Cricetulus griseus: one gene and its partners. The protein of the gene in region 1 interacts with the protein of each later gene in a pairwise test. Links are inferred from orthologs where the notes say so. Each region holds a gene or a part of one and is shown in the gene's direction. Other genes may lie near its edges.

Region 1 (3,952 bases):
GAAGTAAAAAGAAAATACTTTACAACTTTAGTCATTGGACACTGGTTCTCAATCTTCCTAATGCTGCGACATTTTAATGCAGTTCTTCATGTGTGGTCGTCCCCAGACATAAAATTATGTCATTGCTACTTCATATCTGTAATTTAGCTGTTATGAATTGTAATGTAAATATTTGTGTTCTTAGGTGACCCTTGTAAAAGGGTTGTGCGACCCCCAAGGATTGTGACCCACAGTTTGAAAACTGCCGAACTAGAAGGAAAGAAATTAAGGAATCCTAAGATTTGATCTTAGGGAATTAGAGAAAATACAAGAAGATCAGGACATGGTGGTGCATGCTTTAATCCTCACACTGGGGAGGCAGAAGCAGGCAGATCTCTGTGAGCTGTGAATTCTAGGACAGCCTGTTGTACATAGAGAGTTTCAGGACAGCCAAGGCAACACAGAGAGACCCTGTCTCAAAAACAAAACAAAAATGCAAATACACACACATTCCTTTAGTCATGAAAACGATGACATCACCACATAGCAATGAACTGCCTGTGGAAAATTACAACAAAAGGGGAAAAAATTACACCTCCCGATCACACTTTGAAAATGGCTAGAATAATCTTTCTGTCATCCTCAAAAGTCAGGCTTTCTGAGTTTGCTTTTCTCAGCAATGTCCGGGGGTCACAGGGGCAATCCGCATTTTCTATTTACAGAGGTTACTAGGGCACACTCGGGCACTCACTCATAGGCTTCCTGGAAGGATCCCTGAGGCGCCGCTAGGGGACGCAAGGCCTTGATAGCGCAGTGGCGCACCTCGCCCTGTCCCGCCCTCCCGGTTTGCGCCATCGGTTTCAGGGTCACGAGAGAGCCCGGAAGAGGGAGGTGCTCCCGCGGGCTCGCAGCCTTACTGGTTGTGATCGCTCCATCTCACGGTCCCGAGGAGGAGCTCCAGCGGACTTAAAAGGCAAGGTCTTGCCACAACTTAGCTGCGCAGCTTCCCAAAGCAACTCTCCCAGTTTTCTGTCTAACACTGAGGTTCGCCGGGTCATGGTGCCAGCCTGACTGAGAAGAGGACGCTCCCGGGAGACGAATGAGGAACCACCTCCTCCTGCTGTTCAAGTACAGGGGCCTGGTGCGCAAAGGGAAGAAAAGCAAAAGACGAAAATGGCTAAATTCAAGATCCGTCCAGCCACTGCCTCTGACTGCAGTGACATCCTGCGACTGATCAAGGTAGGGAAAAGGCCCGGCTCTCCTTAGGGCGGAGGGTGAGGGAGGTTCCGTTTCCTCGGGGAGTTGATATCTTCGGTTCTGAGATGTTGCCCAGTCAATAATTCCCTTTTCTCAGCCCGCCAACCCCAGCCCGGGTCAGGTCCAGAAGTTCCATGCCAGTCACCACCGGACCCCGCCTACCCCATTTCCCCTTCTGTGAGCTGGCAGGGCTGGACAGGACTTTCATTGTCCTTTCTTTTATATGTATCATTCCCAGGAACTGGCTAAATATGAATACATGGAAGATCAAGTAATGTTAACCGAGAAAGGTAACGAAGTCGTGGCGGGGGGGAGGTGAAGTGGGGAGAGTGGGGCCTCAGGGAGGCAACAAGCTGTTACCTGACACCTACAAAAGTCAACACTGTCTCCTCCTCCCCCATTTTACAGATCTCCTAGAGGATGGTTTTGGAGAACACCCCTTCTACCACTGCCTGATTGCAGAAGTGCCTAAAGAGCACTGGACCCCTGAAGGTAACCCCTTCTTCCTGTCCAGAAGCCAGAGAGAACGAGTGTTGTATCAAAACCGTAGAGTCTACTGTACAGAACCTGTAACTACACGGGCAGAAGTTACTGAGAAGCTGGTCAGAAATAACAGCCAGCCAGTGTGCAAATGACTGAGGAAAAAGAAAATGTATGTGCAGTACTTTATAATAGGGCGGGTTAAGAGAGCTGTTTAAGCAAGTATCAGAGTGCTGTGGAAACCCGGAAGAGTTAGGTATAATGTCATTTGTTGTAATTCAGTTTCATAAAAATGGTTTTTGTTTGACCCTAACCTAATCTTTTTTTTTTTTGTAATTGTGTTAAATCACATTTTTTTCTTTAATTTGTCCCAATCCTCAGGTTACAGTCTCTAGCTTCGCCATGTACATGGCCCTTCTGTGTACATGGATGGGCGGGGAGGTAACTAAAAGATCCTTTACACAATAAAGTAGATGATCATGATAAATGAGGTAAGGTCCTATTATCGCACACTTAAAACATGGTAGATCAGAAACTTATATTCGCTTCCTGTCTGTTTGCAAAGAAATAGAAAATGGCTAGAAAGTTTAATTTGCAACCATTGCCTCCGTTTGGAATTGAGTTGACACTCCTTTTGAGGGAGTCAATTTTGAATTGGTTTTATTTTTATTTTTATTTATGTATTTCTTTTTTGCTGACCCTTGTTGACTGGTCAGAAGAGGGCTAAAAGGGGAAGTTGCTTGGGTGGATGATTTCTTCAATTTTCTTCTGACGTCTGTTCCCGAGGCTAGAATGTAATAAGAACACCCAAGGGATAAGCTGGCTTTTAGAAGTAAGTGGGTGTTACGTAACACTGGATTCTTGTTACTGCTACTTCTCCTGCCTTAAAAACTTGGGAAAGTAAATTGAAAATTTATGCATGGGAAGACAAGTTCTGAAAGTAAACATAGTACTTTTGGCCTGGTGTTCTGACCTTAAGGAAGCAAGAGTTGGTAAACTACAAATATTTCCTCTTCTAAACTGCTGTGTAAACCCAACTTTTGCCAAGCTGACATACCAGTATGTCATCAGGATGTGAATAATGTGTGTGTTTAGTTTAAGTCTGTGGCAATTTTGCTCTGGCAAGTAATGAAAGTGTTCTCATTTCCTGAGTGTGAGTCCAGCAGACTGCAGACTAGCCAGTCCACAGGTGTAGCCTAGCTTCAGCTAGCTCTAATGTGTGCTTTTTGCAAATACATGTCTGAGACCAGAGAGATCGTCCATCATCGGTCTGCACTGTACTAGCATAAACATGAGGAGGCAGTCCAGTTCATGACTACTTGTTTCCATGATGCATGCACGTGTATTTTCTTACAATCTATGATAGGCTTCTGTTTCTGCCAATACAGCTTGAATGGTTTGCTTTTTTTCTCTGTATCTCATGGGATACTCTTATTACAGGACACAGCATTGTTGGTTTCGCCATGTACTATTTTACCTATGACCCATGGATTGGCAAGTTACTTTATCTTGAAGACTTCTTTGTGATGAGTGATTACAGAGGTACAATTGAATTTGGGATTGGAGGCAGTTTAAAGAGAAATCAGAGCCTTTGGCCTTAAAATGACTAAGCTAAATTGTATTGCTTTCTTTTAGGGTTTGGCATAGGATCAGAAATTTTGAAGAATCTAAGCCAGGTATGTTCACTAGCATTTCTTTGTATATCCCAGACTGGCCTAGTATTAATATGTAGCCCTGGCTGGCCTCAAGCTTGTCTCCACCTCCCTAGTGCTGGGATCATAGTTGTGGCCCATCACATACACCCAGGTGTCCTAGATTTAGGCTTCTGAATTTGTAAGAGTTATTGGGTTATTGTAATGAATGAATCAAAATTGGGTCTTGGCAAGCGGGTGAAATGTCACTGGGCTTATGTTTTCTCTCTTGTACTAGGTTGCCATGAAGTGTCGCTGCAGCAGTATGCACTTCTTGGTAGCAGAATGGAATGAACCATCTATCAACTTCTACAAACGAAGAGGTGCTTCTGACCTGTCCAGTGAAGAGGGATGGAGGCTCTTCAAGATTGACAAAGAGTACTTGCTAAAAATGGCAGCAGAGGAGTAAGGAGTGCCTTTGTAGACAATGACAACCTCCATTATACTTTAGAATAAATTCTCAACTTATCTTGCTCTCTATCTTGTTTGTAGTGAAATAATAGCATGAACACCAATTCCAAAGCTTTATTACCAGTGGCGTTGTT
Region 2 (3,890 bases), on another chromosome or scaffold:
CTGTGTTATCCATAACTGTCATATTCATTGCCATTCATTATATGCAAGATAGTGTGCTATCCTAATAGCATCCATGATCTCAGTTGGTCCTTCCAAAGGTGGAGTGGAGGGAATGGATTCTCTTGTTTACACTTTATAGATGAGGTAACTGATGTTCATTCAAGTAGTTTGAATCTAAACTGAAGAAAATTGTTTTTTTAAGGGTGCTTAATTCAGCAACATTTTATGAGTGAAAAAATTGAAAGAGAATTCCTTGAGATAAATGAATAATGGAAACAGCTGTAAACTCACAGCATTGCTGTTGTGGAATGAAGAGGATGCTAGTGAGAATTAAAACCTGGCATTGGTGAAGGGGCAGAGAAAAGCAAGAACCATGTGGGTTGAGAATGGACAGAAGCAAATGAGTTGCCACAAAAAAAAAAAATAGACGGAGCTGAACTAATAAACAAAGAAGAAAGCAAGATGGATGTTGAGTGGGAGAGATTTTAGAGCAGCCTGCCCTGTGCTCTTGAAAAGTTATGGTCTCCTGGTGTGTGCCTCCCAATTGGCCTGAGGACAAGAGAAGCCGTGCGTGTAGAGTAAAGGGCTGTTTGCTCTCTATGCTTTGCTTCTTTTTATTTTTCTCCTGTGCTTGTTTCCCACCCCTCCTCAGGTGAAGTGCTTCTTCTGAATGAGTTAGCCAAAGAATGTTCTTCATTTCCTGATTTCTATGGAGACCTCAGAGCTGGATTTGCCTCTGCTGGAGCCTCATCTTCCACCCTCTCTGCCTTCCAAGGTCTTTGCCTCTATCTACCACTTGGCGTTGTCTGTGGGTCCATGAAGCCTTTGATGATCTTAGAGAGAGCCTGGGAAATCTTCCTCATAGACTGAGCAGCAATGGTTGGACATATTCTAAGGCACATCTTAACATGGGTCAAGCCAACACTACACGGCAAGTGCTAAGACTAAAGACTTATTTGCATTTTATTTAAATTGGATGGACTGGGTTTTGGACAATTTCCATGCAGAAAATTATATTTCATTTTCTAGGCACAACTTCTGGCTGTCAGATACTTGCTGCCTTTGAGTCTTGTAGCGTCATCACCCAGCGCATCCCAGACATACTTCCAGATTTGAACATCTACCCCAAAACACGTAGGTGTTTGGGAGACCGCAACATTTCATGACTTATGTTTGAGGAGCACTAGGCTGTTGTCTAGACTAGCCAAGCTCTGGAAAGCAACGCTGAATCTCTGAGAAGAAGGAGCATGGGGTGTGCTGATTTAAAAACAGAAAATGCAAAGTTGTACTGAAAATATCCTAAGTCTTCCAGGCAATCTGCTTAAGGCTTCCAAACTTACCTTAATTTGGTAAGAAAATAAGCTGCCCTATTTTTCTTTCTTCTTCTCTTACAACTGGAACTAGCCATTTCCCAAAACCACCACCATGGAGGTTGCAATGGTGAGTGCAGAGAGCTCAGGGTGCAACAGTCATATGCCTTATGGTTATGCCGCCCAGGCCCGGGCCCGTGAGCGGGAGAGACTTGCTCACTCCAGGGCAGCTGCAGCTGCTGCTGTGGCAGCTGCCACGGCTGCTGTGGAAGGTACTGGGGGTTCTGGTGGCGGTCCCCACCATCACCACCAGATGCGTGGGGCCTACTCCTCCCATGATCCTCAAGGTAGCCGAGGTAGTCGGAGGAGGAGGCGTCAGCGAACTGAAAAGAAGAAACTCCACCATCGGCAGAGCAGTTTTCCTCATTGCTCAGACCTGATGCCCAGTGGCTCTGAAGAGAAGATCCTGAGGGAGCTGAGTGAGGAAGAGGAAGACGAGGAGGAGGAAGAAGAGGAGGAAGAGGAGGGAAGGTTTTACTATAGTGAAGATGACCATGGGGATGGGTGTTCGTACACAGACCTGCTGCCACAGGATGATGGAGGTGGTGGTGGCTACAGTTCAGTCCGCTACAGTGACTGCTGTGAACGTGTGGTGATAAATGTGTCCGGTCTACGCTTTGAAACCCAAATGAAAACTTTGGCCCAGTTTCCAGAAACTCTGCTGGGAGACCCTGAGAAGAGGACTCAGTACTTCGACCCTTTGCGCAATGAGTATTTTTTTGATAGGAACCGACCCAGCTTTGACGCCATTTTATATTATTACCAGTCAGGAGGCCGTCTGAAGAGGCCAGTCAATGTGCCCTTTGATATCTTCACTGAGGAGGTGAAGTTCTATCAGTTGGGAGAGGAAGCCCTGCTCAAGTTCCGGGAGGATGAGGGCTTTGTGAGAGAAGAGGAGGACAGGGCTCTGCCAGAGAACGAATTTAAAAAACAGATTTGGCTTCTCTTTGAATATCCGGAGAGTTCTAGCCCTGCCAGGGGCATAGCCATTGTATCTGTCCTGGTCATCTTAATCTCCATTGTCATTTTTTGCCTGGAAACCTTGCCAGAGTTCCGGGATGATAGGGATCTCATCATGGCCCTGAGTGCAGGTGGGCACAGCAGGTTGTTGAATGACACATCGGCACCCCACCTGGACAACTCAGGGCACACAATATTCAATGACCCTTTCTTCATCGTGGAGACAGTGTGTATTGTGTGGTTTTCCTTTGAGTTCGTGGTTCGATGCTTTGCTTGTCCCAGCCAAGCTCTCTTCTTCAAAAACATCATGAACATCATTGATATCGTCTCCATTTTGCCTTACTTCATCACTCTGGGCACTGATCTGGCCCAGCAGCAAGGAGGTGGCAATGGTCAGCAGCAGCAGGCCATGTCCTTTGCCATCCTCAGGATCATTCGTCTAGTTCGAGTATTCCGGATCTTCAAACTCTCCAGACACTCCAAAGGCCTGCAGATCCTGGGCCACACCCTCAGAGCCAGCATGCGGGAACTGGGCCTTCTGATCTTTTTCCTCTTCATTGGGGTCATTCTCTTTTCCAGTGCTGTGTATTTTGCAGAGGCAGATGAACCCACTACCCATTTCCAAAGCATCCCGGATGCGTTTTGGTGGGCTGTGGTAACCATGACAACTGTGGGCTATGGGGACATGAAGCCCATCACAGTGGGAGGAAAGATTGTGGGGTCCCTGTGTGCCATTGCGGGTGTCTTAACCATTGCTTTGCCTGTGCCGGTGATTGTGTCTAACTTTAACTATTTCTACCACAGAGAGACTGAAAATGAGGAACAGACCCAGCTGACACAAAATGCAGTCAGTTGCCCATACCTCCCTTCTAATTTGCTCAAGAAATTTCGGAGTTCAACTTCTTCATCCCTAGGGGACAAGTCAGAGTATCTAGAGATGGAAGAAGGGGTCAAGGAATCTTTGTGTGGAAGGGAAGAGAAGTGTCAGGGAAAGGGGGATGATAGCGAGACAGATAAAAACAACTGTTCTAACGCAAAAGCGGTGGAGACCGATGTGTGAAGCGCTTTCTCCACCTGCCACTGCTCCCCACATCTCCAAATATATTCATGCATAGAGAGTGCAGTTATGAAAATGAAATATGCAAATGATTGCACTGCATACAGTAGTACACTGTTTAATGGTAATACACGGCATAATTGTGACTAAATTTGTATTGCATATCAAATAAATGATACATCTTGGAGAAGAGGGAGGCTTAAATAGAGCAGATTTATCTTTATATTTTTTAATAGAATGCAAGAATTTTGCACATAATGGGAAAAGATGTTAATAGTAAAGATGGTCCTGAGGAGTGTGTGTGTGTGTGTGTGTGTGTGTGTGTTAGAGTGTGTGTGTGTGTTAGAGTGTGTGTGCACACGGGTGTGTAAGTAAATTGTCAACATTGTTGGGAATTGTGCTGTGATTGGAAAAGTTGGCATTCTGAAGTATTTACTATGTAAGAACTGATGAATTTGAGCAGTCTTTTATCAGTGTTTTAATAACATCTCCTATGTCTTTGG
Region 3 (3,500 bases), on another chromosome or scaffold:
AGATTTTGCTAGATGTGGTGGCACATGCCTGTAGTCACAGCACTGAGAGGTAGGAATCAATCAGTTGAGGTCATCTTTGATTATGTAGTAAATTTGATGCCAGCCTGGGCTACATAAGATCCCCTCTTAAGAAACCAGAAAAGGAAAAAAAAAAAAAAAAAAGAAAGAAAAAGAAGACAGGGGTTTCATCACATACTAGATAGTGGCACCTGTGAACAGATTTGGCATTCTGAAGTAGGAAGATCTCTTGAGCCAATTTATTCAAGGTCAGAGTTGGCAGCATAGTCAGACCATGTCTCAAGACTGGAAAAGCTTGATTTTCCTGTCTAAGTACATTCATAATTAAATAACAAGGAGCACATATTTCCTCCAGACATGCAGGCAATATTCACAAACACGATTATATCTAGCCATTCAGGAAATGCTGTCTCAACCCAGAGAGTAGACACAGTGCTGGGCCTCTTAGTTGTCATGTTCTGCTGCTTTTCTGTCACTAATTCATGGGTAACTGTCCTTGATCTAGGAGCTTCTACCTGGCCCTCTACAAGCAGATGAGTTTCTTGGAGAAGCGAGGATGCCCACGTACTGCACTGGAGTACTGCAAGCTCATCCTGAGGTGAGTATTCACTTTGACTGCATGGCCACCTGTCCCCACCACAGTGATCCCAGATTTGTGGGGACTCCAGCCATGACAACACTTCCTCTGTCTCCCTTGTTCTCCACTTAACTGTGCTGCCTCCGGAAGCCTTGAGCCAGATGAGGACCCCCTGTGCATGCTGCTGCTTATTGACCATCTGGCCTTACGGGCCCGGAATTATGAGTACCTGATCCGCCTCTTCCAGGAGTGGGAGGTATGTGTAAGCCATGTGCTGTGACTTGCAAGTGCAGCTGTGTGTCTCCCTTACCTTTCTTATCCACACCCTAAGTGTTTGAGGGACAGTTTTATGATAAGATGGTGAAGGCATGAGTCAGAGCTCAGGTAGATCCCAAGGGTCCCCTTCTTTTCTGGCTTCCTTGTTATCTCTGCTGGATAAGATCCAGTCTTCCTAGAGGGTGTCCAGCAGCCTTTCAAGAACCCCATTTCACAGGTCTACACCAAGTACATATGCACAAACAGTGGTACTAGTAGTGATGAAAAGTTGGGTTAACCCCAGAAGTCACTGTGTCCGTGTAAGAAGCAACCATGAGCTGGACAGTGGTGGTGCACACCTTTAATCCCAGCACTTGGGAGGCAGAGGCAGACGGATCTCTGTGAGTGTGAGACCAGCCTAGTCTACAAGAGCTAGTTCCAGGATAGCCTCCAAAGCCACAGAGAAACCCTGTCTGGAAAAAAAAGAAAAAAGAAGTAACCATGAAGTAAAGCGCCATGTGGGGTGACATAGGGAACCTCAGCATACAGACCCACATTCTGCAGAAATGCTGGATAGACAATCATAAACCAGTCACTTGTGCCTTGCCAGATTTACATGTAACTAAAAATGAAGGATAGCCTGACACCACACTGCTGCCATCTGGCCCAGCCGCTGTGAATGCTAAATGCACCTTGTGTGCCAGACAACACCAGAAAAAACATAACTGTCTTGTCCATGAATGTGGACATGTGTTGAAGTGACAATTTCAGTTTATTGGGCTAACCACCATGCTTTAAGATCAGTTCTGCCATTCTCCATAATGCAACTGCTAGACAGTGTAAAGAAGTACAGGACTCCCATCCCATCCCATGGTTGGTTCTTGTCAGAAAAGAGAGGCATTGGGTTTTGTGCTGGTTGCTTCCAGCAGGACCTAGTAAGGGAGAAAGGTGATAAGCCTGTGTTTTCTGTTTCTACTTTTGAGTGTTTTTCACAGTGCATATTTTTCCATTATCAAAAAAGAGATAAACCTTTTTCTTTTTTCTTTTTTTTTTTTTTTTTTTGTTTTTTGTTTTTTGTTTTGTTTTTCAAGACAGGGTTTCTCTATGTAGCTTTGGAGCCTCTCCTGGCACTCTGTAGACCAGGCTGGCCTTGAATTCACGGAAATCCACTGGCATCTGCCTCCTAAGTGCTGGGATTAAAGGCGTGCACCACCACTGCCCAGATGAGATAAATAATTTAAGTACATAATGTTTGATATAGTTGGCCAGGAAATTTTGCTTTTTGGGATCTGATTTATAGAATCCCTGGAGCTCATGAAAGCATGGCTACAGGAAATGCCAAAGAGGGCTGCAGGTGAGTGATCATTATGGCTTATGTGGTTGTAGAATAAAACCAGTTATTGTAGGGGACAGGGCAGGGGCAGGTACATTGGCTAACTAGCCTAGATAAATTGATGCTCTTCGGGTATGGAGAAGAGATCTTGTCTCAGAGCATGAAGGTAGAGAAGCAGAGACATGGCTTAGCAGGTAAAGGCACTTGACACCAAGCCTGATAACTTAATCCTTAGAACCTCATAGTGTAAGGAAAGGGCTGACTTCCGCAAGCTGTCCTCCGACCTCTACACATGTGCCATAGTGTCCATGTATACATATACATACATACCAAATAAATAGATAAGTCAATGGTTTTTAAAAAGCTAAGAAATGAAATCAATCTGTAGAACAATTGAGGAAATACGCCCAGTATTGATCTCCAGCCTCAGCACTCGTGTACATGTGTGCATGCACTTTTCATACACGATAGAGAAGACATAGAACAAGTCACTTGTCTTCTCACAAACCATAGAGAAAGAAAGGGAAGTACTGGAAAACACTTGTAGGTTAGGTGGCATCAGATCTCACTTTTGATGACTTCCTTTATGAGCTTTCTGCATAGGCAAGAGGGCTGACTTCCCTGCTTCCACAGCTGCAAGTCTAGGCAGCGGACATCCATCCTTAGTGACTCTGAGGCTCCTGCCTCCTGCTGTACTATCAGTCATCTGACTGAGCTGATTCCTACCCGTCTGTGTCCTTCTGTGTTTTTTATATGTAGAAAATGGATTTTCTTCATCCCAAGTTAAGTTGAAAGGCCCACAAGGAAGCAGTTGTAGGACTCACCTGGCATCCGGTGCAAACTATGTGTTTTGTCTTCACAAGCTTAAGGTCTGGGCTTTGTTTCTTCATCCATTATAGGCACATCGGAACCTGTCGCAACTCCCAAATTTTGCCTTCTCGGTCCCATTGGCATATTTCCTTCTGAGTCAGCAAACAGACTTACCTGAGCATGAGCTCACCTCTGCCAGGCAACAAGCTTCCCTCCTGATACAGCAGGCACTTACCATGTTCCCTGGAGGTAAGTGCCACCTCTTGTCTGGGGAGGTAACTTTTCTTCTTTCTTGGGGATTGAATGTAGATCCAGCCCTCCCCATACTTAATGGAAAGATTGCATTCCCTTAAAGGCCTTAAAGACTTGCTGTAGTTCTAGCTAATCTACCCACTTCTGTGAGCCTACTACAAGTCTGGTAAGGAGGGAGGGACAAATGTCTTCTCTGGAGTTTAGTTTCCGGATGGAAGAGTAGAGCATTTTCCAGAGCACACTGTATGTTAGATG
Region 4 (4,207 bases), on another chromosome or scaffold:
AGAATAGCTGCTAATAAAATGCACTATTTGGAAGCTCCACCAGAGGATTGTAGGGGGGAAGGCTGCGGGTGGGGGACACGGACTGGTTCTGGGGACTCCGCTGTACTTGGTACTGCCCTATGTCGGCATTTGGACATCTTCCAGAGCTGGACAAGTACTAAGAATTTAGCTTGCCTCCTTCCCTTTTTGGATGGAAAAGGAAAGTAACCGGGTGTCGCTTACTGTGCTGTTTGGGGACCCTCTCCCTACCTCTGGAGAGCTCCTTTAATCATTTCTCACATTGGCCTCCTCATCTGGACAGTTTTACGGTCTCAGAGGATTCTGGACGAAGGACAGAAGAAATGGCCGTGGACCCAACCCTTCATAAAGGCCCAAGAAATGTCAGGGAGTTAAATAAGACTGGTTAGTCCCGTGAAACTCTTTCGTAGACTAGCTACGGGGTCTGGCTAGTCCCTTTGGCCTGAGGCAGGCTCTAATTTCAGGCCAGATAGTGAGTCTTTGGACATTGGTTCCACTGAAATTCCCTTTCTCCTCCCTGAGCTCCTGGAGGATCAAGAGAAGAGCCTAGTCATGTAAATCTCCCCAAATTGTGCCCTGATTCCCCTCCAAAGAGGATAACTGTCCTATAAAACCCCCAACTTCTTCCCCACCCCTTTACTTTCTCTCCTGTGGGTCGCTGTGCTGCTGTTGTTTAATAAACATCTCTGTCAAGGGGACAGAGGACAGGAAATGAGGGCCTGCGGGGTGGAGGTGGAGGTGTTGGGGGATGACAAGACTACCTCCTCTTTAATTACCCTGTCGGGCCTCTCCCGCTGCTCTGAGGCTGGGGCGCTCTCTCTCCCAGTATGCTGGTCCTCCTCCCCTCCCTTTCTAACCCGCCTGGGGAGAGGGCTCCGCAGCCATCATCCCTCCAGAGGCAAGCCCGCTGCTTGCCTCCGCCTCTCCTCCGCCCCCATCGCCCCATGTTGAGAACCCCCCTTCCTGCAAAAGCGGGAGGGGCCCCGGGCGGCCCGGCAGCTCTGGCTGAGGTTACGTGGCCGCCGGAGCCCTGACGTGATAGCACATTGCATCAGCATAAAACAATCCATCCTGGATATGGAATGCGGTGAGGACGGATGACAGCGCGAGCGCAGCCCCCTCGCCCGATTGATTTATGTCGGAGCTGACGCTTTATCAGGCAGTCCGCAAAACTTTGACCAATCATTTTGCAAGGAGCTCCGAGCCGGGCTGCTCCACTGTACTTTGTTGGCTGAGAAGTTGAGCAGGGGGTGGGGTGGGAGGGTGGGGGTCTGGGGGGGTCGCGTCCGAAAGCCCTCTACACCGGGTCCGTGTGCCACCTCTCCCTGCTTGGGCGCCGAGGCGCGAGCGCTTCCCTTCCCCCTGCGAGCGCGCGGATAATGTCTGAGAATGTCCATTTCTGGGACGCTTAGCAGCTATTATGTCGACTCGATCATAAGTCACGAGAGTGAGGACGCGCCTCCAGCCAAGTTTCCTTCAGGCCAGTACGCGAACCCGCGGCAGCCGAGCCACGCCGAGCACCTGGACTTCCCCTCGTGCAGCTTCCAGCCCAAAGCGCCGGTGTTCGGCGCCTCCTGGGCGCCGCTGAGCCCGCACGCGTCGGGGAGCCTGCCGTCCGTCTACCACCCCTACCTGCAGCCCCAGGGCGCGCCGGCGGCAGAGAGCAGGTACCTCCGCACCTGGCTGGAGCCGGCGCCGCGCGCCGAGGCCACCCCGGGGCAGGGCCAGGCGGCGGTGAAGGCGGAGCCGCTGCTGGGCGCGCCGGGGGAGCTGCTCAAACAGGGCACGCCCGAGTACAGTTTGGAAACTTCGGCGGGCAGGGAGGCTGTCCTGTCTAATCAAAGAGCCGGCTACGGGGACAATAAAATTTGCGAAGGAAGCGAGGACAAAGAGAGGCCGGATCAAAGTAAGTTATAAAAAAAAAAAAAAAAGTGAGGAAATCCCCCCCCAGGCTGCAGGCCAGGCCCGGGGGAGGGGAGGAGAGAAGCCATAAAGCGGACAATGTGGAGGGACAGCGCGCCGGGGGCTGCAGGGCTAGAGGGGGTGGAGGAAGAGGAAGGAAGGGACCTGGGTAGGAAGAAGCTGTGTGCCATGGAGGGGGACAAGGAGGCCACCCCTACTCCTCCTAGTGGCGCCTGGACTGAGCCTCAGGGATCAATCCTCTAGTCCTTCCTCCTTTCTCCCCCTTCGGCTGGAAAGGGGGAAAGAGAGCTGCGACAGTTGCTTGAGGAGCGAGGGGGCCGGGCCGGTGGCCAGCGTGGCCCAGAGCCCTCGCGGGCACGGGCCGGAGCGCACCCGGCAGAGCCGCCTGAGCCACGCGCAGACGGTCCCCGCCGGCCAAGGGGAAGGGGGAGGGGGCTCATTAGGATTTTATTTGCGATGCAACAGCTTGGCTGAGGATTGTTCCTAGCAGATCTCACGCAGTAGCCGTGTCGGGTCGGCAGCCGGCGCCGGGAGGGGCGGGGGAAGCCCAGGATGCGGTGACCGAGCCCCCTCCCGGGTGCGCCGGCCCCTCCCCGGGAGCCTTCCTTCCAGGATCCCCCGCCCTCCTAGGGCATCCTCGCCAGGGTGGCCGCTTCTGCCTCTGCGTTTCCCAACCCCCTCCGCGGGGCTCTGGAGCACTAGCCGGGGACAGTCTGCCTCTCAGAGAGTCTGGGAATCACTTGCTAAAGTCAGGGCCCACCTCCAGAATGGAAAAGAAGACGTCCCGAAGGGACCCGGGGGAGGGGTGGGGGGAGACTGCGCAGGGGCGGAGAACTCTACCCTTAGCGGAGAGTTTCTTACCACCTCCCATTCCTAAAAGCACCCTTGCTAAAAACCCCGTGCGGAAAGCGATGCTGGCTGAGAGGATTCTTTTACTTGTCGTTTTTTTAAAGGTGGGAAAAACAAACCGGTTGGGGGCTCTTAGTTCCCAAACAATTATGGACAGATTGACAGGTCAACTCCTCACCACTTACTCCTTTGGACAAGTAGTTTAGTTCTTGCTTGCCTTGTCAGATTTCCCACCAAAAGAGTAGCCAATGGGTCCTCTGGGGGCATGCTTGCCCTCTGAAAAGTAAGGAGAGACTCTGCACCCCCCTCCCCGCCCCAGGCCTTTGCAATCCCCATACCTCCAACCTGCCAGGTTGAGTCATTAGGAGCTGATATCCGGGAACACAGCTCTTCCCAAACCTCCTGCAAACACCCAAACAGAGCCCTCACCCCATGGCCCCAAACTCGGCCTGGAAAGCCCATTATTGCACAGCAGCCGTTTGGCTAGGATCAATTATTAACAGTTTCCCCCCCTCTTTCATATTTAATGTGGCTTCGGGTCCCATCCCAGGCAATCACATTAAGAAAATAGCGCTGCAAATTGGTAAGACACGCTACTTAGTGTAGGATGAACTGAATTTTAAAATACACACAGACATTCAGGGCTTTTCACTTGGGGAGGGAGAAGCTGGTAGAGGGGGATCTTACTTGTAATAGGCTCCGCTTTTGGGGAGCAACTTTTCTGTGTCCTGGGGTCCAGGGAGAGATGCGAAAGAGAAAAAAGAAAAGCCTGTATACATTATTTCCTGATTTTGCCCCTCTTCTCTTGTCTCCCCTCAGGGTCAGTTAGAAGGCTTGTTAAGCCTAAAGGACTTTCTGTTACTCCTCCTCAGCTCTGTCTCCCCACCTTGGGGCTGGAGCAATTTTGCTTCCCAGTTTCCCTGAACTTGTGTTAACCGAACTCTGAGCTGAGCAGCAGAAAGGAAGAGGCTATTGCCACCATAAGTTATCTGGGAGCCCCGGGGCTCCCCTGTCCACTGGCTGCAATTGATAAATGGTTGCAATTGGGTTTCTTGTGAGTTGGGAGTGTGCTGGGTGTTCCTGGCTGTAAATGTGAACTCTTATTTGTGGTGTGCGATGGGGAGGGGGTATCTATTCAGAACTCACATGTCTGCTGCCTCCTGGCCTAGAGCTGAGAGATGGCTATCTGGGCAGGGTTTCCTGGGACTGAGCTGAAGGGCCAAGAGATCTCTTGGCTGTGGCTGAACAGGACTCCCTTGTCAACCCAATTCTTCCCCTTTCCTCCCAGACCTAGAGCCAAGGTCAGCCACTTTTAGCCGGTAGTGTGGCTTCAGCTATACTGACCTGAGTCCAGGTTTGTTTGGATACAAGTAGAAAAAGGCTGTGAGCCTGCCTGGGGCAGTGGAAGCTTTGGAGA
Region 5 (3,500 bases), on another chromosome or scaffold:
TCAGGCTTCTCCCTATCTCTTGGCTCAAACAGTAAATTTCCTGGTGTTCTTTTACTCTTCAAACTACATTTTGTATTTCTTTTTGCCCGCTTGCTGGATTTCATTGTGGATGTGCATAAGAGTAATAACTAGTAACCAATTGACAGACTATATTGAAATCTCCTCTAGCAAAATGTTTGATTTAGTCTCAGGCAGATTTTTAGAACAAGAGCAGAAAACAGCCACATTCTTTGCCACATATCACAAGAATAGTCTCCCCAATCAGTGGTGGTGCACACCTTTAATCCCAGCACCAGGGAGGCAGAGGCAGGTGGATCTCTATTGAGTTGGAGGCCAGCCTGGTCTACAGGTCCCTCTGAAATCTTCTGAGCTGGGCTTGCTCTGTCCACATTGCTCACATCTTAACATCACTCTATTTTTATCTCGTTTCTGGTTTTCTTTAAGTTCTAAGTGCCAGTAAAACCAAAGATTCCAGTCGCAGCTCATTTATATGTATAATTTTTTATTTTATGTGTAGGAGTGTTTTGTCTGCACATATGTGTGTGTACCTGGTATAGACAGTGCCTATGGAAGTCAGAAGAGGGTGCTTGATCACTTGGAGTTACAAGTAGTTGTGAGATGCCATGTGGGTGCTGGGATCCAAACCTGGGTCTTCTGCAAGAGCAGCAAGTGCACTTAGTTGCTAAGCCCTCTCTCCAGTTCCATTTGTCATTCCTTTATTTTTCCATAACAGTAGCACCTACCTTGAATTTAAAACTTAACTTTTGATTATGTGTTAAATATCTAGCAGGGCCAAGCTGTGGTGTCGAATGCCTTTAATCCCAGCACTATGGAGATAGAAACAGGAGGATCTCTGGATTCAAGGCCAGCCTGGTCTACAGAGTGAGTTCCAGGACAGCTGGAACCCTGTCTTGAAAAACAAAATCAAACAAACAAAATATCTAGCAGGGTGTGTGTGAGCTCTCAGAAGTTAGAATGCTTTTGTTAGATTTGCATCCTAAACTTTAGTTTAAGCAACCACAGCTTATGTACATTAATCTTACTGATTCCAGTTGTTGTATACATTTCTTAGGCCTGGGGATCGATAATGTTCCTAACTTGAGTTTCTCTTCAGCCTTTGCTTCTGGATACTGGAATGGGACGGTTGTGCACACTGGATGAATCTGTCTCCCTGGCAACAATGATAGAGCGAGTTAAAGGATACTTAAAGCTTTCTCATCTTCGCTTAGCTCTTGGAGTAGGGAAGACCTTAGGTAAGTGTCTTTCATCGTCTGCAGATCTACTGTGACTTTGGACAGATTTTGGTTTTGGTTACTTTTGACACCTGATCTCATAGAGCATAGAATGGCTTCAAACTCCTTTTGCCTCTCTCTTTCTCTCAAGTGCTGGGATTACAGGTGTGTCCTACTTTTATTCATGTAAGTGGTAAGAAAACATGTTAGCAGCTCAGGGACATAACTGGTTTACTTTGTCAACCAGGGTGGGCTGGGCTGTAATGTGGAATACATCTCCCGAGCCTAAATGATAAAACTTATTTCTTAGTTTTCTGGGTTCATCTGTTCATCTCCAGTCAGCACTAGAAGTATGTTAATTATAAACTGGTTATTGTTGCAGTGGGAATAGAGTGTTTTAAATCATTAGGTAAAAATTCTAGACTAGGATGCAGTCCACACCTTCTAGTACCTGGCAGAAGCAGGTAAAGCTCTGTGTTTGAGCTAGATCTAAAAAAGTGAGTTACAGCTAAGACTACACCCTGAACTCCTGTCTTTAAAAAGGAGGAAAGGAAGAGTACCTAATATATGTGTAACATACTGCTTTTCTATTTTTTTTTAAAGATTTCCTTAACTTGAAGTGTTTGTGTGTATGTTGTCAGACCCCCTGGAGCTGATGACAGGTAGTTGTGAGCCACCAGATATGGGTGCTGGGAACCAAACTTGGGTCCTCTGGAAGAGCAGCAAGTGCTTTTAAACTGACCATCCATCTCATCTGCTCTGCATTTCCCTTTCTTTAACATGCCCTCTTGCACTGTCTGCAGACCCAGCTGAGGTTTGTTGTTAGCACTGAGGCAAAGCTGGGGGTGCAACAAACACTGCTATTACTCAAGACTTAGGGTTTGTGCAGCTGCATCCAAAGAACAATGCCCTTGTCTTGTGTTCTCTGTGTGGTGCCAATGATGGATTTGTTTGCCTCAATTTAAACATTGTATTTGGAGCTGGGCATGCTGGCGCACATGCCTGTAATTTGAGCATTTGTGGAGCTGAGACAGGAAGGATCACTAGTTTTGCTCAAGTTCAAATTTTGGCTAGCCATGAATTTAGGGTTATCCTCACACATCCTGGGATTATAGGCATGTGCCAGCACCAGGCTCCTCCCGCTTACCACTGCCCCCGCCCCCATCTCTATCTCTATTTAGGTTTTTTGAGACAGGGTTTCTTTGAGAAACAGCCCTGGCTGTCCTAGAACTTGCTCTGTAGACCAAGCTGGCCTCGAATGCACAGAGATCGGCCTGCCTCTGCCTCCCAAGTGTTGGGATTAAAGGGGTACCCCATTATACCCATTTTTAAATCAAGACAGCATAATTCATATACTGGTGGAGAGACAGGGTTGGGATTTGTAGTACAAGTTGTAGTGTTAAACTGAAAGAGGTTATGTCTCTCTATAATAACACCTCTTGCTTTTGTCTTGAAGAATCCCCAGTCAAAGTTGTGGCCTTGTGTGCTGGTTCTGGGGGCAGCGTTCTACAAGGAGTGGAGGCTGACCTTTACCTCACAGGTAGGACCATTTCTGGATCTCTCCCTCAACCTTCCTTTATTTCTTAAACATTCAAAACTAGCAGATTCCAGGGCTGTGCCTGGCACAGGTTGAAGTGTAATCATAGCTTTTCCCCTTTCTTTTCTATGTTTGTTTTTGCAGTGCAGGATGTTGATCCCAGAGTCTCCTGCATGCCAGCAAATATTATTCTACCAAGCTATACTGCCAACCCCTACTACATTTTTTGAACTTGAACGAAACAGGAATCATATCAAATTGAAGATATACTGTGTCTATAGAGGGGAGAAATTACTGGACAATCCATTAGTTTCCCCTCCAAAATGATTTCAGTTAGTATTTCCTTAACCACTTTTCTTAGATTTCATGTTAGCTAATGAGATGCTTCTACCTTGTTACCTGGGCTGGAGGGAGGTTCCTTTTGGCTCAAAAGCTAGGTATCAGTTCTATCAGGTCAAGTTCTGAAATCTTTCTAGAACCTTCCCTTATCTCTCTACTCAAGCATATATCCTACCTGAAGTATTGCATTGTGCCTCCAAAGGTCCCCCAAATTAGTTTTTATTGTTCTCTTTGGAGGTTTTATTTTTATGTAGAACTCAGAAGACAACTTTTGGGAGTTGGTTCTCACCATGTGGGTTCCTCAGACTGACCTTGACTTGTCAGCTTGAGGGCAAGATGGCTTAGCCACTGAGCCATCTCACCAACCAGCCAAGGTCTCACTGGGTAGTCCT
Region 6 (4,174 bases), on another chromosome or scaffold:
AATGGAAGGTGAGTAGGCTAATTATGGTCATACTTATGTAATAATAAAAATCTGTGCCCATCACACCCCCCATCCTGCTTGTTCTTCTCAAAGTCATTATATATGGAGGGAAACAGAAAGTAAAGCAACTTGCCCAAGGTTGCACTAGTAAATGGCAGAAACACAGTTTGAATCCATCCGGTCTAACTTTAGAGAGCAAAACTTCAAACCGCCTTAACATTGTCCTGCTTTTCTAATGAGTTAAGCTCTTGGGACTTAATTCACCCTGGGGATCTCTTACAGAGGAATTCTGCAGCTGCTACTTCGTTTTTTCTTTCTCTATAGCGTCCCCTTCCTCTAATTTTCTCAGTCAAGACAGCAGGTGGAAGGGGCTGGAGAGATGGATAGCTCAGCAGTCAAGGCTATTGGTACCTCTTGCAGAGGACGAAGGATCAATTCCCAGCACCCATGTGGCAGCTCACAACCATCTATAACTCCAATTCTAGGCTATCTTGATGTTCTCTTCTGGCCTCTACAAGGCACCAGGCACACAGACATACATGCAGGCAAAACAACCATACGCATAAATTAAAAATACTTAAAATATTTTTTTAAACAACAGATGAAAAATTAAGATAGCAGTGTGACTCAAGGCTGGCCTGATCTTTTGTTCTTTCCCCCAAACCTTTCGATTCACCTGACTCTGTCCCCAAGCCATCTTCTTGGGTTTAGGAGCCAATCATGATTACAATTGCTGCTTACATACCGTGTTTGTTTGTTTGTTTGTTTGTTTGTTTGTTTTGTTTTTCCAAACTCCAGGGTTTTATGCTGTGTTTTCAACTATCCAGTATGGGTTGGCAAAAGCAAAACAATGCCATCCTTGTTTATAGAAATAAAAATCTAAATCATAAAGTCTGGTCAAATCACTTCTCTGGCTGATGGCTAGGATTTTTAAAATAAATACATTACTTTTTTTGTTTGTTTTATTTTGAGACAAGGTCTTGGTGTCACGACCCTTCACTCTCCAAGTGCTGGAATTACACACATGAGCATTTACTCCCGGCATTTAGGACTGTTTTGTTTGTTGTTTCCTTTTTTTAAACAGGCAGCCTTGGCTGTGGTTTCTTTGCATGCAAAATGAACCGGTTGAACGACATATTTCTTTTTGAACAACGAAACATTTATTATTCTGGACTTGTTTAGAATTAGGAAGGAAAATCAGTCACACAAATCTCTACTAGTTCACTGGAAGGAAATCTGGCGTCTCCAAGCAACCGGGAGCAATTGAGGTCTGGGTCACTCCTGGCAGGGACAGGGTTAGGGCGAGTAGGAAGATGAGGCGGAACCGACTTTGCAGGCGCAGGGGACGTGTTTTGCAACGGACAGGGAAAGGAAGTGTACTGCTCCAAAAAGGGTCTCCATGCCCGGCGTCCGCCGGTCCTTCACAGCTGTGCTGCTTAAGTAGATCTGAGCCTTGGGGTTTCTGGAGACCCGCAGAAGCGGCCAGGACGTCCTGACCGGCTTGTTCCGGTAACAGGTTAGACAGTTTGACCTTGGCCGCTCCTCTTTGCACTTTGCAGCCCCTGGTCGAAGCAGATGATGTGGTGGGCTGCTGTTAACCTGAGAGGGACGGCTGCCCGATGCTTTCGTGCGCGAAGCCTCGGGGTTCGCGTGGGTCCTTGGTGCGTCTCCCAGCAGGAAAACCCCGGCTGCGGCCCAACTCCACACAGGACGCTGCGTGTCAGCGCGGCGGCCACCGCGGGACACAATAAATGGTCTAAAGTCCGGCACATCAAGGGCCCCAAGGACATGGAAAGGAGTCGAATCTTCAGTAAACTCACTCTCAGTATCCGCCTGGCGGTTAAAGGTGAGAACTTGACAGTCCTCACTGCTGATTACTGAGGCCCTTTCGGTGCCTAAGGCTTCCCTTGTACCCCTAAATTGGACTAGGACCGATTATTTCCTTTGCGTTTTCCAGTTGCTATCGTTGTCCTACCCTTAACTGTCAAAGCACCCGCCTTCAGTGGATATTCCTGTTTTCCTTTCCAAAAACTTTTCAAAGACCTGCCCTTAGGAAGATAGAAACGCCTCCATCCAAGTCTTTAGTTAGATAGGTACTAAACAGAAATAAACCTTAAGAGTCAAGTCAGGGTTTGGAGAGATGGCTCAGCGGTTCCCAGCACCCACATGATTGCTTAAAGCACCTGAAACTTCAGTTCCAGGGTACTCAACATTCTCTTCTGGCCTCCTCGGGCAGTGCATGCATCATACATGCAGGTAAACACAAAACAAATCTTTTTTTAAAAAGGCAGGTGTATGTCTTTCTTGAAGGAATAAACCAAGCCTTCTGCAGCCACTTTTACTACTCCTGAAGGCTGTGGCAGGCATGCTGAGTCAAGTTATTTCTTGCCTGGGCTTCATTTTCCCTCATTGGAGCTCCTGAGAAACTTTCTTGGCAGGTCTGTTTGGAACCATGTATCTGCTTGGTGGTGCAACTGTCTTCCTTCCTTCCTTCCTTCCTTCCTTCCTTCCTTCCTTCCTTCCTACCTTCCTTCCTTCCTTTTCCATTTTAGTGTCTGTGAAAAGTGTGGGTCTGGAGTCAAGAAGATATGAATTCTTTCATTGACTAGGTTGCTACAAAGCCTTTCAAAAAGTGACTTAACTACTGAATTTCAGTTTTCTGTAAAGCAAGGATAATACCCACCTTGTGGTGGCTGACAGCATATAGAAGGTATTAATCGACAACTGCCTGATGTTTCCCTTTGCTTCCTCTCCTAACAAATTTTGATTTAACCAACATGTTATTTTGATCTCGGAGGGGATACTACAAAGAACACCCAGTGTAGCCCCTACACTCAGAGCCTGAGCATGAATCCAATGTCTTGTGAGCATGTCAGACATTATGTACTAATAGAGTAAGAGCAAGGATGTTATTATGATTCAACCACTTCATCTGACACAAGTAGTTTGCTGGAGCCTAGCAAAATAATAACTATCCCTAAGGGGAGAGTGAGTTGGGAACTTCTTTTCCAGACTGGGTATGAAGCCCCATGGAAAAGAATAGTATTTAGCATGGATAGGCCTTGGGCTCCGTCTCCAGTATCCCCCACCAAAGCAACTTCTTTCCCAAAATACTTCTCCTTCTTCCAATGTGAGACAGACTCTCGCTGTTTTTTTCTTTTGTTTTTTTAAAGACAGGGTTTCTCTGTATAACAGCCCTGGCTGTCCTGGAACTCACTCTGTAGGCTAGACTGGCCTCAAACACACAGAGATCCACCTACCTCTGCCTCCTGAGTGTTGGTATTAAAGGCACCGTGCTACCATGTCTGGGCAGAATCTCACTCTTAACTGAGACTGACCTAGAATTCATTATGTAGTTCAGGCTCCTGCCTAAACCTACTGCTTTCTGGAGCTGGTTTGTGCCTTCCTCCTTTGTGTGGATCCTAGGGATTGGGCCCCAGGTTGCTAGGCTTATGCACTTTTACCACCTTCTGTCTGGTTTTATTTTTTTGATTCAGGGCTCTTATTGGCCTAGAATTTACCACATAGACAGCTGGCTGACTGAGAGTCTCAGGATCTGTTTCTGCCTGCCTGGTTCTAGGATTATAAACTGGTGCTGGTATTTTCTTGTATATGGGTTCTATGGATCAAATTCAGATCCTTTGCTTGCAAAGCAAGCACTTTGCACACTGAGCCCTCTTTGTTAGATACTGCTTTCTAATGGAGAGTAATTTGCCATTGTTTTGGGGTTGGAGAGGCTGGACATTGCTTATTTCTCCATACTAGGATGAGATAGATGTCTTTGATCATTCTTTTCCCTTTTTCCAGAGGGAGGCCCCAACCCCGAGAACAACAGCCACCTGGCCAATGTCTTAGAGATGTGTCGAAGCAAGAATATGCCCAAGTCAACTATTGAGTCAGCACTGAAAACAGAGGTGTGTCCTCAGGTTCATGTTGTTATTATTGAGCACAGCCCTGAGGTCCATGTTTGGAAAGCCATGGAAAAGTCCTTAAATTATCAGAGAGAAGGGTAGGAACACGGTGGGAATTCTATCCTTGCATGGAGACCCATAGAGGGTAGAGCTGCATTGTCAAGCTTGGAGAAGATAGGGTAGAAAGGACAGGTAAAATTGGGGAAAGCCCTGATATTAGGTTGGAGAAGGGCTTGCTTCTCAGATGTTTATGTCTAAAGGAG
Region 7 (4,106 bases), on another chromosome or scaffold:
CCTTGGCTACACTGACACCCAAATTCACGGTCCTGGAGACCAATGCAGCAAAAACCCAGAACCATTGCTGAGCCCCAAGAAACTACCGCGCTCCCCTCTCCGCCGCCCTCTGCCGCAAGGAGAGAAGCGGAGACAGGACAGTAAACGAGGCTCACCAGCTCTGAAGATGCTCCGTGACCTCTGGCTGCGCGGGGAAAGCAGGGCCGGGAAGGCGCTAGTGCGGCCGCGGCCCGCGCGGACTCTGTCCCTGGTGCATTCCTTGCATTCCAGCACAATCTGTCGCCAGCCTACGAGCTGGCAGCGCGCGTCGCCCGTTGGACACACACACACACACACACCTGCCTATCACGGCACCCGGAGCAACCGCGGCGCCTCCGCTGCCTGCGCTCGCGGGGTGTCGCACTCAGCCACCACACCGCTAAATCCCGGCCCCGCCGCTGGTCCCCTCGTTTCCCAAGGAGCAGGAGGGGACAGGGATCCCCCGATCCTCCAATGGGTGCAGCGGCCCCTCTCCAACTCCTGGCAGCCCGAGGAGGCAGGGCGGTGCGGGAGGGCGGCCCGTAGCCTTGGGGCTGGGGCGCCCGCGAGGGAGGAGCGTGCGGTTTGCAGCCGAGAGCTGGGAGCCCTGGACCTGCCGTGCGGTCGCCACGAGCACCAGTACGGCTCCAAGGGCCAGGGCGATACGCGGGGCGGGCGTGGGAGGCAGCGGTAAGCGGTTGCTTCTGAGGAACGAGGGACGGACCCACAGACGGCTGGCTCCTGGCGCGACGGCGCGCGGGAGCCGCGGGGCTCAAGTTCGGGAAGCGGTGCTGGAGGAGAAGCGGCCGCACGGAGCCGTGCGGGGCAAAGTTGTGCGCCGCCGGGGGGAGGGGAGAGGCGAGCGGGATGGCGGAGCACGCGGCGGGGACGGAGCGACTGGGGCCAGGGAGCCGCGGGGGGCGCCCGGCCGTCGCCAGGTCCCGGCTCGGCGCGCTCAGGGCAGCTCGCACCCCGGAGCCCCGCGCCCTCTCGCCAGCAGCGCGCACTTACTTTCCAGCTCAGGCGGAGGTCATCGTCGCTCCAGGAACCAGGGACATCCGCGCCGAAGGGTCGCCGCTGCGGCACCGGAGCAAACTGGCAGAAGTGCGGCAACCGCGCCGCTGCCCGCCCCTCCCTCCCACCCGCCCCCTCCCCGAAGAGGCTCTCCCACCACCCGGTGGCGGCGGCAGCTCGCCTCTACCCCGTGCCCATAGTGCCGCCGCCGCGGCCAGCGTCCACGCGCACTCAGCCCCGGAGCCACTCAGACTGCTCGGAGGCCGCCGCCCCGCCGCCAGCCCGCCCGCCCGCCCGGCCAGTCCAGGCACCCGGGAACGTCAGCACGCCGCCGTCCCCAGACAGGCTGCGCGCCCGCCCCATTGGGCGGAAGGAGAGGGCCGGCCCTCCCCATTGGCCCGGCCCTCATATTGAACGAGCCAATGGGAGCTGCGGTTTCAGGTCACCATGGAGACCGATGCTGTTAAGAGCGAGAGGGCCAGGAGAAGGTGGGGAGTGAAGATGAAGGTGTCTGTGGCCTCCGGCGCAGGAGGGGGCGTGGGGGAGGAGTATTAGGGGATTCCCAAACTAGAGCTCTGGAGTCGGGCGGGTCTTGCTTTTGACTGTTGCCAAGACTGTGCATGGTAGGGCTTGTCCCTGGCGTCAAAGGCAGAAACAACTGAGCCCCTGGACTTCTGCTTTACATTGAGAGTTCAGGAGTGGGCGTTTCATTTTTTTTTTCCTGCATCTGGGGAGCCTGCCAGGCTATGCCCTTTGACCTTTGACATCTGTGCAGCCCGGTGAGTTCCCCTCCATTCCTTAAACCTCTGCTTCTTCCTGACGTCACAGGGTCACTTGAATTCTTCCAACCACTCCCCCTTCCCTGAGCTGGATATTTCTTCGGATTTTTGGTTCCTCAAGCCTATCACCCCCCCTTCCCAAGAGAAAGAGGATTTCTTACCAGAGGTATTTTGGTAAAGCAACTGGATGGGATTGTGCCAAAGATCAACCCACAACAGAATGAGTTAGTTCTCTGCTTCCCAAAGCAGCAAGTCACTGATCTCCCCCACCCCTCTTGTTCTGTGTGTTTTCTGCACTGAGCTTGGCAGGTGCAGGTTCTTTCTAGTATTTCACGGACTGGAGCAGTGCCAGTTTCCATCCTGATGATTTTGCAAAAGAAAAGAAGAAAAAGATTACAAATGATGGATTATTTTTTGCTTTCTATTTTCCAGATTATTTCTAAATTTGATAAAGAAATGATTAATTGGGACATGGAATCAGTACTCACCCAAAATCTTGACCCTTTAGTGATGAGTGCTCTACTTCCACTTAAATCATTTTGTGCTAGTTTGCTTGTACTAATTATTTTTGATGAGTGATGATTCTAATTAGATACTACCCATTAATCTGGAACTTTTAGACATGATACTACTTTTAAGCATATATAACATGATACTACTTTTAAGCATAATAACAATCTAACATGATATATTTATCTTCCATCTTTTGGTGACTTTGTTATTTTCATAATATTCCCTTTAGTTAAAAAAAATCATGTTTATGCTACTTTCCCTAAAAATAAAGGACTATATTAATTTTTTCTTGTTATATTGTATGGGAAAATGATAGGAATTTTGAAATTACAAATATTTTGCTGAGAGAAACAGATTACTGTGTGTGCAAGCAACATGTATCTAACTTACATTACATTTTAATTGGATGGTATGTTTTACTGTTGGTTTTTGTTGTATAAAATATATCCTAAGAAATGTTAATATGGCGTCTTGCTTGGGAAAAAATATCACCTTAGTACTTATTGTAAACTTGAATTTGACTGTCCTATGCAGGGTTGGACTGTGGAACAAAATAGGTAAGCCTATGAATATATCACTTAAATATTTTAGAATTAGGGTGGAAGCAGAGAGCATTAAGGTTGGAGATATCTCATGGTTTGTCTTTTGGGAAATTAGCAGCTTTTGAGTTTTTCTTGGTTTTGTTGTTTTCTTAATGTGTGTTTCTTTATAGGAGAATAGAAAAACGTAAACTTTGAAGGTCTATAAATGTAAGACATTTTAAATGTATAGTCAAGATACCAATAATTTATTTTTTAATTTAAATAATACAGAATGATGGCAAAAATGGGTGTCTCACTTTTTCCTTTGTCAAAAGAAGAAAAACAGAACCAATTTTACTTCTAATGATCATTTTCTTTTGTATTTTTCTCGAAACATATATCTGAGAAGTATTTTCATATTGTTTTTATGTGTGCAATTTACATGTCATTTCCATTTTCAGTAATTAAAATGTTGCTGAAACCTAACAGGAGTAATGGATGTCCCTAAATCAGTTGCCATTCAACATTATTTTTTTCTTGTTATATTTAGTGGGAAAAAATTTGAACTTTTACTGCTAAGCAATGCTGGTTAAAGTAAGAAAACACTTTGTTCCACTAAGAGTTGATGCTACTCAGAACCTGTCTGGCTCCTACATTCCTTCCACCATCAGGATTGTGATAACTAGGACTGTCTCATACTCCAGAGGTGCTACTAAACACACAGAACTCTTGCGAACAGGATTTTTCTCTGTTGGGTTATACTTTCTCAGATTACCTTTTATACCCGCTCCTCCCAAGCTTCTCCCTTAGCCTCCCAATATCTGGCCTTTTATGGAACCGTGTTGCTTATCCTCCCTCTCTATCTGCTGGCCTTTCCTTTCACCAAGAAGCAGAACCAATGGGAGGCCACCATTTTTTCTTCCCAGATGCTTTGACTCTTGAAGTTGTTCTAAAGATGGTTCTGTCTCTCTGCAAAATCACAACTCATTTGGCTAAGTTCTCACATATAACAATGTCTTTTGGACCAGGAGTGGGGTACATGCCTATAGGTGCAACACTTGGGGGCCAGAGGTGGTAGTAGGATCCTTATGTACATAGTAAGTTTCAGGCCAGCCTTGGTGGCTACATGAGATCCTGTCTCAAAACATACAAATACAACTTTGCTTAAAACTTGGCAGGATTTGTAGTCACTGGAAAGGGGGGGGTCTTTTTTGAAAAGTTTTTATTTTTATGTGAATAAATTTATTCACTAGAAGACTTT

Evidence for each region.
Region 2: the proteins of Sat1 (region 1) and Kcna4 interact in binary tests that used the Homo sapiens proteins (3 or more experiments, as listed by UniProt). The link is inferred for Cricetulus griseus from reciprocal best matches to the Homo sapiens genes SAT1 and KCNA4.
Region 3: the proteins of Sat1 (region 1) and Tcf25 interact in binary tests that used the Homo sapiens proteins (3 or more experiments, as listed by UniProt). The two-hybrid records come from large-scale screens. The link is inferred for Cricetulus griseus from reciprocal best matches to the Homo sapiens genes SAT1 and TCF25.
Region 4: the proteins of Sat1 (region 1) and homeobox protein Hox-B9 interact in binary tests that used the Homo sapiens proteins (3 or more experiments, as listed by UniProt). The two-hybrid records come from large-scale screens. The link is inferred for Cricetulus griseus from reciprocal best matches to the Homo sapiens genes SAT1 and HOXB9.
Region 5: the proteins of Sat1 (region 1) and Nif3l1 interact in binary tests that used the Homo sapiens proteins (3 or more experiments, as listed by UniProt). The two-hybrid records come from large-scale screens. The link is inferred for Cricetulus griseus from reciprocal best matches to the Homo sapiens genes SAT1 and NIF3L1.
Region 6: the proteins of Sat1 (region 1) and translational activator of cytochrome c oxidase 1 interact in binary tests that used the Homo sapiens proteins (3 or more experiments, as listed by UniProt). The two-hybrid records come from large-scale screens. The link is inferred for Cricetulus griseus from reciprocal best matches to the Homo sapiens genes SAT1 and TACO1.
Region 7: the proteins of Sat1 (region 1) and Ccdc148 interact in binary tests that used the Homo sapiens proteins (3 or more experiments, as listed by UniProt). The two-hybrid records come from large-scale screens. The link is inferred for Cricetulus griseus from reciprocal best matches to the Homo sapiens genes SAT1 and CCDC148.

The regions. Positions count from the first base shown.
Region 1 is NC_048604.1:90,683,124-90,687,075, reverse strand, and holds Sat1 (diamine acetyltransferase 1), read left to right. Parts: upstream 1-1,152; coding exon 1,153-1,218; intron 1,219-1,474; coding exon 1,475-1,526; intron 1,527-1,644; coding exon 1,645-1,728; intron 1,729-3,156; coding exon 3,157-3,258; intron 3,259-3,351; coding exon 3,352-3,392; intron 3,393-3,645; coding exon 3,646-3,816; downstream 3,817-3,952. UniProt on the Homo sapiens protein: Enzyme which catalyzes the acetylation of polyamines. Substrate specificity: norspermidine = spermidine >> spermine > N(1)-acetylspermine. This highly regulated enzyme allows a fine attenuation of the intracellular concentration of polyamines.
Region 2 is NC_048599.1:70,439,945-70,443,834, reverse strand, and holds Kcna4 (potassium voltage-gated channel subfamily A member 4), read left to right. Parts: upstream 1-1,425; coding exon 1,426-3,390; downstream 3,391-3,890. UniProt on the Homo sapiens protein: Voltage-gated potassium channel that mediates transmembrane potassium transport in excitable membranes. Forms tetrameric potassium-selective channels through which potassium ions pass in accordance with their electrochemical gradient.
Region 3 is NC_048596.1:200,061,730-200,065,229, forward strand, and holds part of Tcf25 (transcription factor 25), read left to right. Parts: intron 1-523; coding exon 524-616; intron 617-745; coding exon 746-851; intron 852-3,082; coding exon 3,083-3,242; intron 3,243-3,500. UniProt on the Homo sapiens protein: Component of the ribosome quality control complex (RQC), a ribosome-associated complex that mediates ubiquitination and extraction of incompletely synthesized nascent chains for proteasomal degradation.
Region 4 is NC_048600.1:109,428,850-109,433,056, forward strand, and holds the start of homeobox protein Hox-B9, read left to right. Parts: upstream 1-1,407; coding exon 1,408-1,924; intron 1,925-4,207. UniProt on the Homo sapiens protein: Sequence-specific transcription factor which is part of a developmental regulatory system that provides cells with specific positional identities on the anterior-posterior axis.
Region 5 is NC_048595.1:412,841,755-412,845,254, forward strand, and holds part of Nif3l1 (NIF3-like protein 1), read left to right. Parts: intron 1-1,114; coding exon 1,115-1,253; intron 1,254-2,688; coding exon 2,689-2,772; intron 2,773-3,500. UniProt on the Homo sapiens protein: May function as a transcriptional corepressor through its interaction with COPS2, negatively regulating the expression of genes involved in neuronal differentiation.
Region 6 is NC_048600.1:119,001,248-119,005,421, forward strand, and holds the start of translational activator of cytochrome c oxidase 1, read left to right. Parts: upstream 1-1,374; 5' UTR 1,375-1,575; coding exon 1,576-1,846; intron 1,847-3,807; coding exon 3,808-3,914; intron 3,915-4,174. UniProt on the Homo sapiens protein: Acts as a translational activator of mitochondrially-encoded cytochrome c oxidase 1.
Region 7 is NC_048599.1:115,769,225-115,773,330, forward strand, and holds the start of Ccdc148 (coiled-coil domain-containing protein 148), read left to right. Parts: upstream 1-1,306; 5' UTR 1,307-1,811; intron 1,812-4,106.